2 linked regions of the Drosophila melanogaster genome follow. The gene in region 1 interacts genetically with each later gene. Each region holds a gene or a part of one and is shown in the gene's direction. Other genes may lie near its edges.

Region 1 (5,149 bases):
CGATGAACAGCGGGTGGTCGTTGGGGGTTGCAGCTCGACGGATTTCCTCTACGCCTACCTCCTTGGCCAGTTCGTCGCAGTACTCGATGTCGAGCTCATGCAGCGTCTCGATGTGCTCGTTCACGAAGGCAATGGGCACAAGGATGAAGTTCTTCAGGCCTTGCTTAACATAGCCCTGTAAAGATGGGATTGGTTTTAGTGGATGGGAATGGAAATCCGGCATTAAAGTTACACCTTAATGGCATCATCAGTTGCGGGCGCCAGCCAGGGTAGCGGGCCCACCTTGGATTGCCATGCCAGGCTGTAGGGATTCGTCTGACCAAGTTCCTGCATCACCATGTGTACGCTAGCACCAATCTCCGAGGGATACGCGTCACCCCGGTTCACAGCCTTAAGGGGAAGGGAGTGGGCAGTGAAGAGGATGACCACATCATTTCGTTTCGTTTCCACAAATTTGGCCAGCTCGTCGCGAATTCGCTGGGCAAACGTTTTGATTAGAAGTGGATGAGTGCCCCACCTGTCGATAATGCTCCATTTGATATCCGAGGGCAGATTACTAAAGAGGTAGAGGGGATCAAATAAATAGCTGCAATTGTGCATTTCTAACTCACTTGCTCCGATAATGAGTAAATATGGAGTTAAAGCTGGATCCGGAGGTGGCGCAGCTGTACTGTGGATATTGTGAAAAGAGTACAACGCGCTCTGGTTTGTCCCTGTAAATATGTTAAAATATTAACATGTATTCTTTAAGTAGCGCAAATGACCATAATTTCCAGGTTTAGGTTTCAGTAATTTGTCCAAGAAGTCAACTGATAATAGCAGGACATTGAAACATGCATAAGAAGTCAGAAGTCTATACAAACTTATTTACTAGAACATATCTTATTGTGAGAGTCCGTAGCAATATATATAGGTCAATTTCACGACCTTCGGATTATTTACATCACTCTTGTTCTACTTCTCGACTACACTCACTTTTCGATCTCGGCCAGCGTGTTCTCAGTGAGGGGATTCACGTAGCGGAAACCGACGTAGTGCTTGTGAGGTGCTGTCTCCGGGGAGATTCTGTCCAACTGCTCGCACATGAGCTGGCCCTGCAGCTCGGTCCACTTAAGAATCGGTGAACCACCGCCGATCTCCTTGTACTTCTTCTGTACCTCGGGCGTCCTGCGCTGGGCGATCCACGGACCAAGACGGCTCTGCACCGGCAGCTGGATCATGTCCCGGTCGGTCATAATACGCAGGAGGTAGTCATGCACCTGGTCCGTGTGGGTCGGACCGCCCATGTTCAGCATTAGGATCGCGGTCTTCGGTTTTTGGCCGCTCAGGTTGCGCACTCCTCCTGCCAGACCACCTGTTGGGGAATATGTAGGAATGTCGTGGGAACTGTATCCACTCGTATACTCACTTGCCAGTCTGCAAAACTTTGTGTTATGCAAAAACATAGTTCCTTTTAAATTGACCCAAATTGATGGCACCGGTGTCGAATAGTGTTACCAGTTGCTAAAATAGTTTAAATACCAAAATGTATGATCTCACAGATTCTAGAGTTTTTCCAAACGTAACAGAGTTCTGTAAAAAGTAACCGTCACGCCATCTATGTGTGTAAAATAGCTGCCAACTATTACTCAACAGTAATCTAAATATTTAAAAATTTTTCCTTTTGTTACACATTTACCATTTAATTTCTCTTTATTGAAACCGAAACCAATATTTGGTATATACTGTTCTTCAAGCGACCAACAGAAATTTTTCGCGCATGCGTCCTTATTTCTTTCCCTTGTCATCAACGCTGCGTGCAACGGTAAAAGCTGACTGTGGTGCAGTCTCGCTCTTGCACGCTGCATTTCGCTCTCGTCGCTTGCTGCGAGTGTTTCGTTTCCTCCGATCAAATAATATTTTGTAGTTTTTCCACCGAATGCAGGCACAATTGCTTCGTAAAAACGCAATAAAAGGCGCGGCCCATGGTCCGAAAAGATAAGAAAGCTTGAAAAACAACCGAAAGTGTCGTTTAACATCGGAGAAAAGCAAAAGGACAAGCGGCGCAGCACAGTGAAAAAAACGTAGGAAGTTTTGGAGTGAGTGAGAGGGAAGGAGTTCCACCGCGGTGGTGGGTGTACGTGCGCGAGTATTGGTGATGTGTCCATGTCCGTGTTATCGCCACCAGCATTAAAGTGCTCCAATTCGTGGCGCACGCGCAGAATAACTAGCGCTCTCTTGCTCTCTTTCTCGACTTAGAAGAGGAACAGGATATTTTATTATACTGAAATTCCTACTCAGGAAATTCGCATAGTTGCGAAAGCTTCGCGCTGCCACACGGACGCATTCCGCTACGGGTTCCCCGCACCACCCACACACTCTCACACCCGCCTGCCGCGAGCCCACACACCGCGCCCGCAAGCACTCTCGCGCACAGATCAATGAAAAGGCCAAAAAATAAATTGCACCTTTTCCGGGAACCAAAAACATGTTGAAATTATCTCACAAGTTACGCAAAAAATGCCGCAGCAAAAAAGTTGCATGGGATGCCGTGAATGCGACGAAAGTGTGAAACGAAACGAAAGGCAACGAAAGACGGTGCAGAAAGGAGCAAAGAGAGGCTGCAAGGATGTACTGCTTCTCAAAATCCCAAGCCATTGACCACCGAATCAGCGATAAGTCTCTAACAACAAAAACCTGCACCTAGCCAATTGCATTTTGCATTCGCATTCTTACTGCCCCGGAAGTAAAAGCAGCTTCAGCGGAAATTAAAACCAATCAAAGCCGAAATAAAAGGTAACGCTAGCGAGCGAAAGAGATAGACATTTTTAGAGAAAAAGAGAGAGCAAGAGAGAGCTACCATAGAGAGCAAGTGCATCCTTTTCACAACGCGGCACACATTTACGACCGGTGACTGCAACTAGCCCACTCCCATACCTCCGCCCCTCTTCAACCCGACCCCAGTTGTCCCTTGCAATTTGTGATCTCACGTTTTCATAACTTGGGCAGTAGCCGTTGGCACGGATTAGACGCAAAACGTCAAGCATTAGGACGTCAGGAGAAACGCAGTTCCACAGTGCAGGTGAGTTTTCAACAAAGGGACCTATCCAGGAAACTCACTGGCGGCTATGCATTTAGTTAATTAAAAAACTATTTGAAGGGTGAAAAGTCCATCATAGGAAATGACCTTGTCGCTATCAAATTCGGCTGTGCTTGATAAGGCTCCCACAACTCGAATAAGCGATCATTTGTGGCAAGTGTGATTATGCGCAATTTTCTGTTAAAACAAATCCTGTTTCCAGAACTTCTAATGCTTTGTTGGTTAGCGTTATTTTGCCTTTTACTAAAAACCTTTTGAAAGAAAAGGAAACGTCTTCTGATAGGCTATCATCATTCATTGTAGTCATTGGAGGTGGAGGTTCCAATTTAATCGTAAGAAAACATGGCATATCGTCAAATCAATTCGAGCAAATGTAATATAAGCGGTGTCTATTCCAGCAGCAAATTATTTCAAGATCTCCTCTATTACACACAAGAGATGAAGATCTAGGATATATACGACTAGGTGAGAGGAACAGAAAGCAAAACATTTACCGCGACATTAACAATCAAAAATCTTGTTTGGACGCTTTTTATGCTCAAAGCCCCCATAACTTTTTACACCCCGAATCGCCCCTTCAGTCCGCCAAACTACCCCCAAGCTAAAAGCTTTGCTCCAATTTACCAGCAAACAGAGAACTTTGTGTGGAGCCCCATACCATACAAATAATTTAAAAAAGCTGAGCCGCACAACTATCTTAATTTTATGTTAGAACTAAAGCCCCTTGTATAAAAAAAATGATAGCAAGCCTCTTACGGTAGCCAAAAATGGATTTCCATAGAGACCATTAAAATCGCTTGGTACTTTTTGTTGTATTAATTTACGTTGTTATTTATTAACTTATTTTAAGGCAGTATTGTTCACATATAGAAAATCTTTAAACAGAAAGTTATTTTTAAAATTGCATATTATTTTGTTTGGTCCTTATGTGTGTGGTATAAGCCGAGCTGTAATACAACATGTGGATGGCGACTTCCATTCTGTGCAGCCATAATTCCATCTTTTTGATTCTGCCCTCACTAATTAGATAAATTCACAGTTTCCCCGCAACTTTGCTAGTTTTTATGGTTTCGAGCATATTTTTGGCATTTTAATGCGACTTCTATCCGTCGTCCAAATGGCGAGTTGGGAGCTCCAAATTCGGAGTTGCGAGTTTCTAGTTGCGGGTTGCTGGTGGCATGTTGCACAGTCGTCAGGTGAGTCAGCTGAGCACCGGCAGAAAGGACCACATGGCGCGAAGCGACTGCACTGAAAATTGGGGTTTTACCATGCAGATAATGGGATCCGATCTGAAAAGTAAATGATCGTAATATCGGTTGTCAAGAGCTGCGAGTCAGTTGTGGGGCCTTTTCGCGTTACAATTATAAGCTGAGCCGATAAATATAACTTCTAAAAGAAAGAGTATCCTTTTTTTGCCTCAGTGGGTGTGCAGTCGCATGAGCGTGCGGCAAAGCCCAGTGGGTGTGGGTGGGATGGTGGGTTTGCGGGTTAGGGTCCGACGGTCCCCAGTGGTGGGTCTGTGTTTCTTCTTTCGATGTATATTCCTTTGTCGGGTGCTACTAACCAGTCAAAGTGTGGAAAAGGGACTCATGGGGATGTGGCGTTGTGGATAAACTTCAACGCAGCAATAACCATACCAAACCAAATAATGCCATGATGGGGTTACAACTGAGCCCAAAGAGGGAAATCGATAAATCTGCCTGTCGTCATTGTAGCACTGCCTCAAGTAAAAATAATTTTAAAGTTTAAAATTCATATCGATATCTTATTAAATTCGGTTTTCACTATTTATGACAATTTCGTAATATTTGGATTCTGATGTACTTGCTTGCTGCGGAAAGTCTCCGTTTTTTGCTATTTGATAAATTATTTGCTATTTTTGCCGCTGGAATGGAGTGCGGGCAAGCTTTGTCACTCATTTATGGACACACATAGCGAGCTCAATTTGTGATGTCATTATAATACATTTTATGCGTGCCTAGACAACATTCCCGGCGACTGGCGACTGGTAAAGTTGTTCTCGATGTGGTAATGGGTGTAGCTGCTGCTGTTGGTGAACACCCAGGCAAC
Region 2 (5,217 bases), on another chromosome or scaffold:
CCGGATTGGCGTTCTGGGTATTCGTGTTGCTCATGTTGGGCGGCTCCACAGTGTGCGGATCGATGGCTGTGTTGTCGTTCTGCATGGAGCCCACAGCTCTCCCGGAAATGGGCGACGTGTTCGCCGAGGTGGTGGGCGTGACGGCATTCGATCCGTTGGCCGATTTCATGGCATTCTTGGTGGCCTCCTTGACCTCCTGGAACTTCTCTACGAACTGTTGAGCGATATGATTAGTATATAAATATGTGAGACATATGCTAACCACTCACCTTGGTCAATTCCGCCTCTGAGGCAAATCCCAAGCCGTACACCGTGTTTGCCCGCACATCGCTCCACTGGCCGAACTTCTGGGAGGTCTGGGTGAAGGTCATGTTGGGTGTGATCGTCGAGTTTATCACCGCCTTGGTGCCCTCGACACTGATGATGCGGTACAGATTTCGCGAGCTGTCGTAGAAGAAGCTAACGTTGACCGCCTTCATGCTGGCCGTGATCCAGGTGCGCTTCGTCTTCGGATCGATGTGGAAGACGTGCGCCTGGCAGGTGAAAATCGGTTGTTCGCTAAGGGTCATAAAGGGATTAAAGCGACAAGCGTGTGATTAATTAAAAATTCCATTTAGAGCAGGCAATAAATTGTGCTTCTGTGCTCGTGTGAGTAAACTATGGCAAAGCATTCTTTTACTGTGGTTTATTAGTCAACAGGCACTGTGTAATGCATTTATAATTAGTAGTCCTTAAGTCCCAGGATAATCCTCGTGGTCCTTATTTGATAAAGTAGGTCGATATATGTTTGTTTTTTGCGATCTGGCCTGATGCAATGACAGTTTGTTGCGGGGCGCAGGGCCCCCATCAAATCAATTCCGTATCCGTGGTAGCCTCCAGTGCCTTTATTTGTACACATATACATATATATATCTTATCTATTACCTATCCGCCGACATCGTTCGCTGAGCTCTATAACTTGTGTCTTCCCGTTATCGCTGGCGACTGTCGACCGCCGACTAAATTGCATTATGTGCTAAGCCTTTTCCGCAGCCTTGCTTGTGATTTTTGATTCTCGGGCGGAAAACACGCACGCACACACCTGCACAGTCACACACACCTGCACACCCACACACATGTAATTGGCCTGCCCACGCGTGTGCGTGTGTAGGTGTATGTTTGTGTACATATATATGTATGTATTTACGCCGCCCGCTACACACAGAACGGCAGCAACAACAACAACATCATAGGGGGGAGATGTCAGCTAGTTCGGCGTCGATTTTTCCCACAGTAAAAACGGCAGGTTTAGGCCGGTTTGGCCGCGCCCATCGGTCTTACCCCATTGTATTCGTTCTTTGGCGCTGACTGAGTGCTTCCGCAGCAGTTTATACCAATGCTAGTCGGTTTTACTTATGAATTTCACGGTTAAAAAAAATAAAACACAAATGTCTAGAGCTGGAACCAAAATCGATGTTTGTATGGTGCTATCGATGTTTTTACTGGCTCAACACCATCGATGATTTATTTATTAGCTTCCAAGCATCGATAACACATGAGCTCGTATAAGAGCAATGATTCTTATCGAATAATTTAATCGCTGTAAAGCGAATTGCAAATTAATTAAGATAAATAAATACTAAATATGTTTGTCTGTAAGGCACCATAACAATGTAATTTTTTCAAAAACATGTGTAGCTGTTGAAGCATTGCATTTAAATGACGGAAGTTACAAAATAATTTCAGATAAAAGTGATAAGTTTTTTTGACTGTCTAGTTGTGCGCCTACATGTAGTTTGAATATTTGTTAGATATGGTTTTCTTTGTGCGGTGTGGCAGCATTAGTTTTAGTACACATTTTTCTAATACTTGACGATAGGTCAAATGGCAACTCCTGATCGGCAATAATATTTGCATATAATTTAGCTTTGAACATAAATAGACTGCCACAAAAACTTTAAAACAACACATTTTACTTCTATATTTTTTGGACGAAATAGAACCACTGAAAAAATTCATGAAATGTAGTACATTTTGTAGTGAAGAACCAGGGTTGGTTTACGGATTTTAGCCGTTTTGCCATCTGGTAACACTGACCAGTTTCTCATCGTTAAAAAATCCATTTGGAATTCGGTTTATTTAATTAAAAGCAGCCGGGACACCTATGCGAAGGGCAAAAAGCGGCCAGAGTTGTTGTTGCTGCTGCTGCCCAGCCGCCGTGCGATCGATCGGGGTACGTGTTCCGGCGTAACGAGGAGTACGAGGCGATTTTCTCGCAGCCTCTTTTTTTTCACACGAACGCCGTCCCACTAAACCGAAATTTCAGGTGAAAAACTCATTGGAACGCATTTAAAAGCGGCGTAAGCTCGCACCTGCTGCTCGTTTAACCCTGTTTCGGGTATATGTGATTGCAAAATGCGACAGCGACACACCTAGGCACACAAAATATGCCAGTTATGCGAAAGAGAAAAAGTACTGTGCCTGTGTGCGTGCGCGTGTGAGTGTGTATGCCGTGCGTGTGCCCCCGCCTGCGACAGTGTGCGTATGTGTTGGTGTAGAAAACTTGTTATCAATGCGGCGCCTATGATAAGTCTCATTAGACATGTTTCTCCCACTATGCTGGGTATTTCAATTGGAATGGCTAGCGAACGTGTGTGTGTGTAGTAAAATATCCGGACTCCATAGAATGGACATTTTGTATGAATTAATTGAATTTACTTTATAAATTCAATTAACATAAAGAATTTGATTTTATGCAGAAGAAGCTACAGCATTAAGTATCTCCCATATGCGGAATCACAGACAAAAATTCAATCACGCCAATTCATTTATGATCAAGGATCAAATTCAAGAAACTTTAGAAAAACGCGTCTAGTTTTTGTGCTTCGGTAACAGCGATAGTGGTACAATCTCCGCACAAAATGTACCTACAGCCAAAATCCTGTAACCTTTATTCCCCTCTCTGTCTCGCACAGTCTGGCGGCCCCAACTAAATAATGTGGAACATGATGTGCGACGTAATGCCCACGATATCCGAGGATAGCATCTCGCAGCGCTCCTCGCAGTTTAGCGGGGAGGATGCCAACTTTGAGCAGCTGATGGTCTCCATGCTGGACGAGCGGGACAAGCTGATGGACAGCCTGAGGGAGGCGCAGGAGCGGCTTAACGAGACGGAGAACAAGCTGCGTGACGTCGAGAAGGAGCGGGACAGCCTGCAGCGACAGATTAACGCTAATCTGCCGCAAGTAAGTGGCCTCTGCATGCTGATACCGCAGTTTACCTAAAATCTTTTCCTGATCTTTCTAGGAGTTTGCCACCCTGACCAAGGAGCTGACGCAAGCGCGGGAGACCCTTTTGGAACGTGACGAGGAGATTGGGGAGCTCAAGGCGGAGAGGAATAATACCAGGGTAAGTGATTTTCGAAAATTTAGATCCTTGGTATTTCAATTACTGAGACAATTGAGTAATGGTTAGATCAGGTAGATCATGACAAGATTTGCTAGACTAATTTATTAATTTAGGTATTATAGCCATTGCTAAATTACATATCCCATTGTTATTCAAACAAGAAACAGTTGTAGGTACTTGCTTTTGCGAATTAGTCACATATACCGGGAACAATACAAAAGTTTACTCTGTCCGTCTTCATTTTTATTTCGAACATGGCTTGTCTATTTGTTTACTTATCAGTGACTATACAAACATTGTTACAGCCTTTTAAGAATTAGTTCTTTGTATTCACATCCGTCTTAAACCATAAAAAGTGAAGTAAACTGTATTTATAAGTCCTTTCCGCTTCATTGAATATCAAGAAAATCAGTTTTAATTAAATTTCTACGGTAATTTTACTTTTAAAGAGACAATTTAAACGTCGGTTACTGCGTGAAATAATATATTTTTAATGATCTAACTTGACTATTTCAGCTTCTCCTCGAACATCTGGAGTGCTTGGTGTCCCGCCACGAGCGTTCCCTGCGTATGACCGTTGTGAAGCGACAGGCTGCCGCCCAGAGCGGCGTCTCCAGCGAGGTGGAAGTGCTCAAGGCGCTAAAGTCGCTGTTCGAGCACCACAAGGCGCTGGACGAGAAGGTGCGCGAGCGGTTGCGGCTTTCCATCGAGAAGAACAACATGATGGAAGAGGAACTCAGCTCTGCCAAGGAGGAACTGGCCCAGTACAAGGCGGGCGTGGTGCCAGCTGGCGTGGGCAGTGGCAGCGGAGCAGGGAGTGCCGCAACCACCGCCGGTGGTGGGGGCGCCGAGAACGGGCTCAAAGAGAAGGTGCGTTCCACATTCGAAATGCAGTCAAGCATGTCCGGTTTAATATATCTCTTCTATTTTCCAATACCCTAGATGGCGGGCGTGGGCGGATCTGGTGGCGTTAATGGCGAGGCAAATGAGCTGAACGACTACGCAGCCAAAACCCACGAGCTGCAAACCATTATTGAGAAGCAGGTGAAGATTGCGGATCTGTTTCCAGTCTGCATATGGTGAACACTTTTTAAAACGCTCTTTCCTTGTCAGACCTCGGAACTTTCACAATGGCAGCGACGCGTTTCTGATTTGAACAACAAGATTAGTGAGCTTGAGGAGAACATGTCGCGAGTGCAAAAGGAACACTGCAAGGCCCAAGACCAGTGTGCCAAGCTGCAGCGGGATCTGCGCGAGAATGTTGCCCAGAAAGAGGATCAGGTGAGTGAATAATACTCACAGCATGGTTTCAGTTTTTTACTTATACGTTCATTTTTAGGAGGAGCGCATTACCACATTGGAAAAGCGATACCTGAATGCTCAGAGGGAGTCTACATCGTTGCATGATCTCAACGAGAAACTCGAGCAGGAACTACGGCATAAAGAGGCGCAGCTCAAGGTGGGTAAAACCAAGGAAATTACAGCTTATGGTTAAGGCAGGCATACATATCTTTACTTTTATTCATGAGGATCGATTTTTTTTTATTATATTTCGATAAGCGCACAGTCCATTTGTTCAAAAAAATCCATTGATTACTCATTACCTTACTGTAAAGTTATTTCCAATTGAATAGCAGATAAATTTTTCATGATCTTACAAGTCAAGCAATTATCGCTAGTATGCTAGAGTAATGAAATAAAATTAGCAGCGAAATCTAGTTCGTATAGCATCTGTGATATTTTGTAAAAAATCGATCCACTCTGTTTCTAATTGTGCCCTAGCCTGCTCTTTCATTAAGCTCCCCTTAAGCGTGACTAATCAATTGCATT

What was found.
Region 2: of RhoGAP100F (region 1) and Liprin-alpha, changing one suppresses a phenotype caused by changing the other (phenotypic suppression), as found in Drosophila melanogaster (one study listed by BioGRID).

Annotation. Positions count from the first base shown.
Region 1 is NT_033777.3:31,810,766-31,815,914, forward strand, and holds the start of RhoGAP100F (Rho GTPase activating protein at 100F), read left to right. Parts: upstream 1-1,843; 5' UTR 1,844-3,061; intron 3,062-5,149. Other genes in the region: FeCH (ferrochelatase), read right to left, coding at 1-175, 235-556, 612-713, 976-1,354, 1,409-1,445. UniProt on the Drosophila melanogaster protein: GTPase activator for the Rho-type GTPases by converting them to an inactive GDP-bound state. Promotes the anchoring of Liprin-alpha clusters at synapses. Recruits and keeps Nrx-1 levels high in active zones in the presynapse opposite the postsynaptic region.
Region 2 is NT_033779.5:6,721,873-6,727,089, forward strand, and holds the start of Liprin-alpha (Liprin-alpha), read left to right. Parts: upstream 1-2,030; 5' UTR 2,031-2,212; exon of another isoform or gene 2,213-2,305; 5' UTR 2,306-2,521; intron 2,522-2,954; 5' UTR 2,955-2,975; coding exon 2,976-3,224; intron 3,225-3,285; coding exon 3,286-3,387; intron 3,388-3,903; coding exon 3,904-4,257; intron 4,258-4,329; coding exon 4,330-4,431; intron 4,432-4,500; coding exon 4,501-4,668; intron 4,669-4,726; coding exon 4,727-4,846; intron 4,847-5,217. Other genes in the region: homer, read right to left, coding at 1-214, 270-558, 925-938.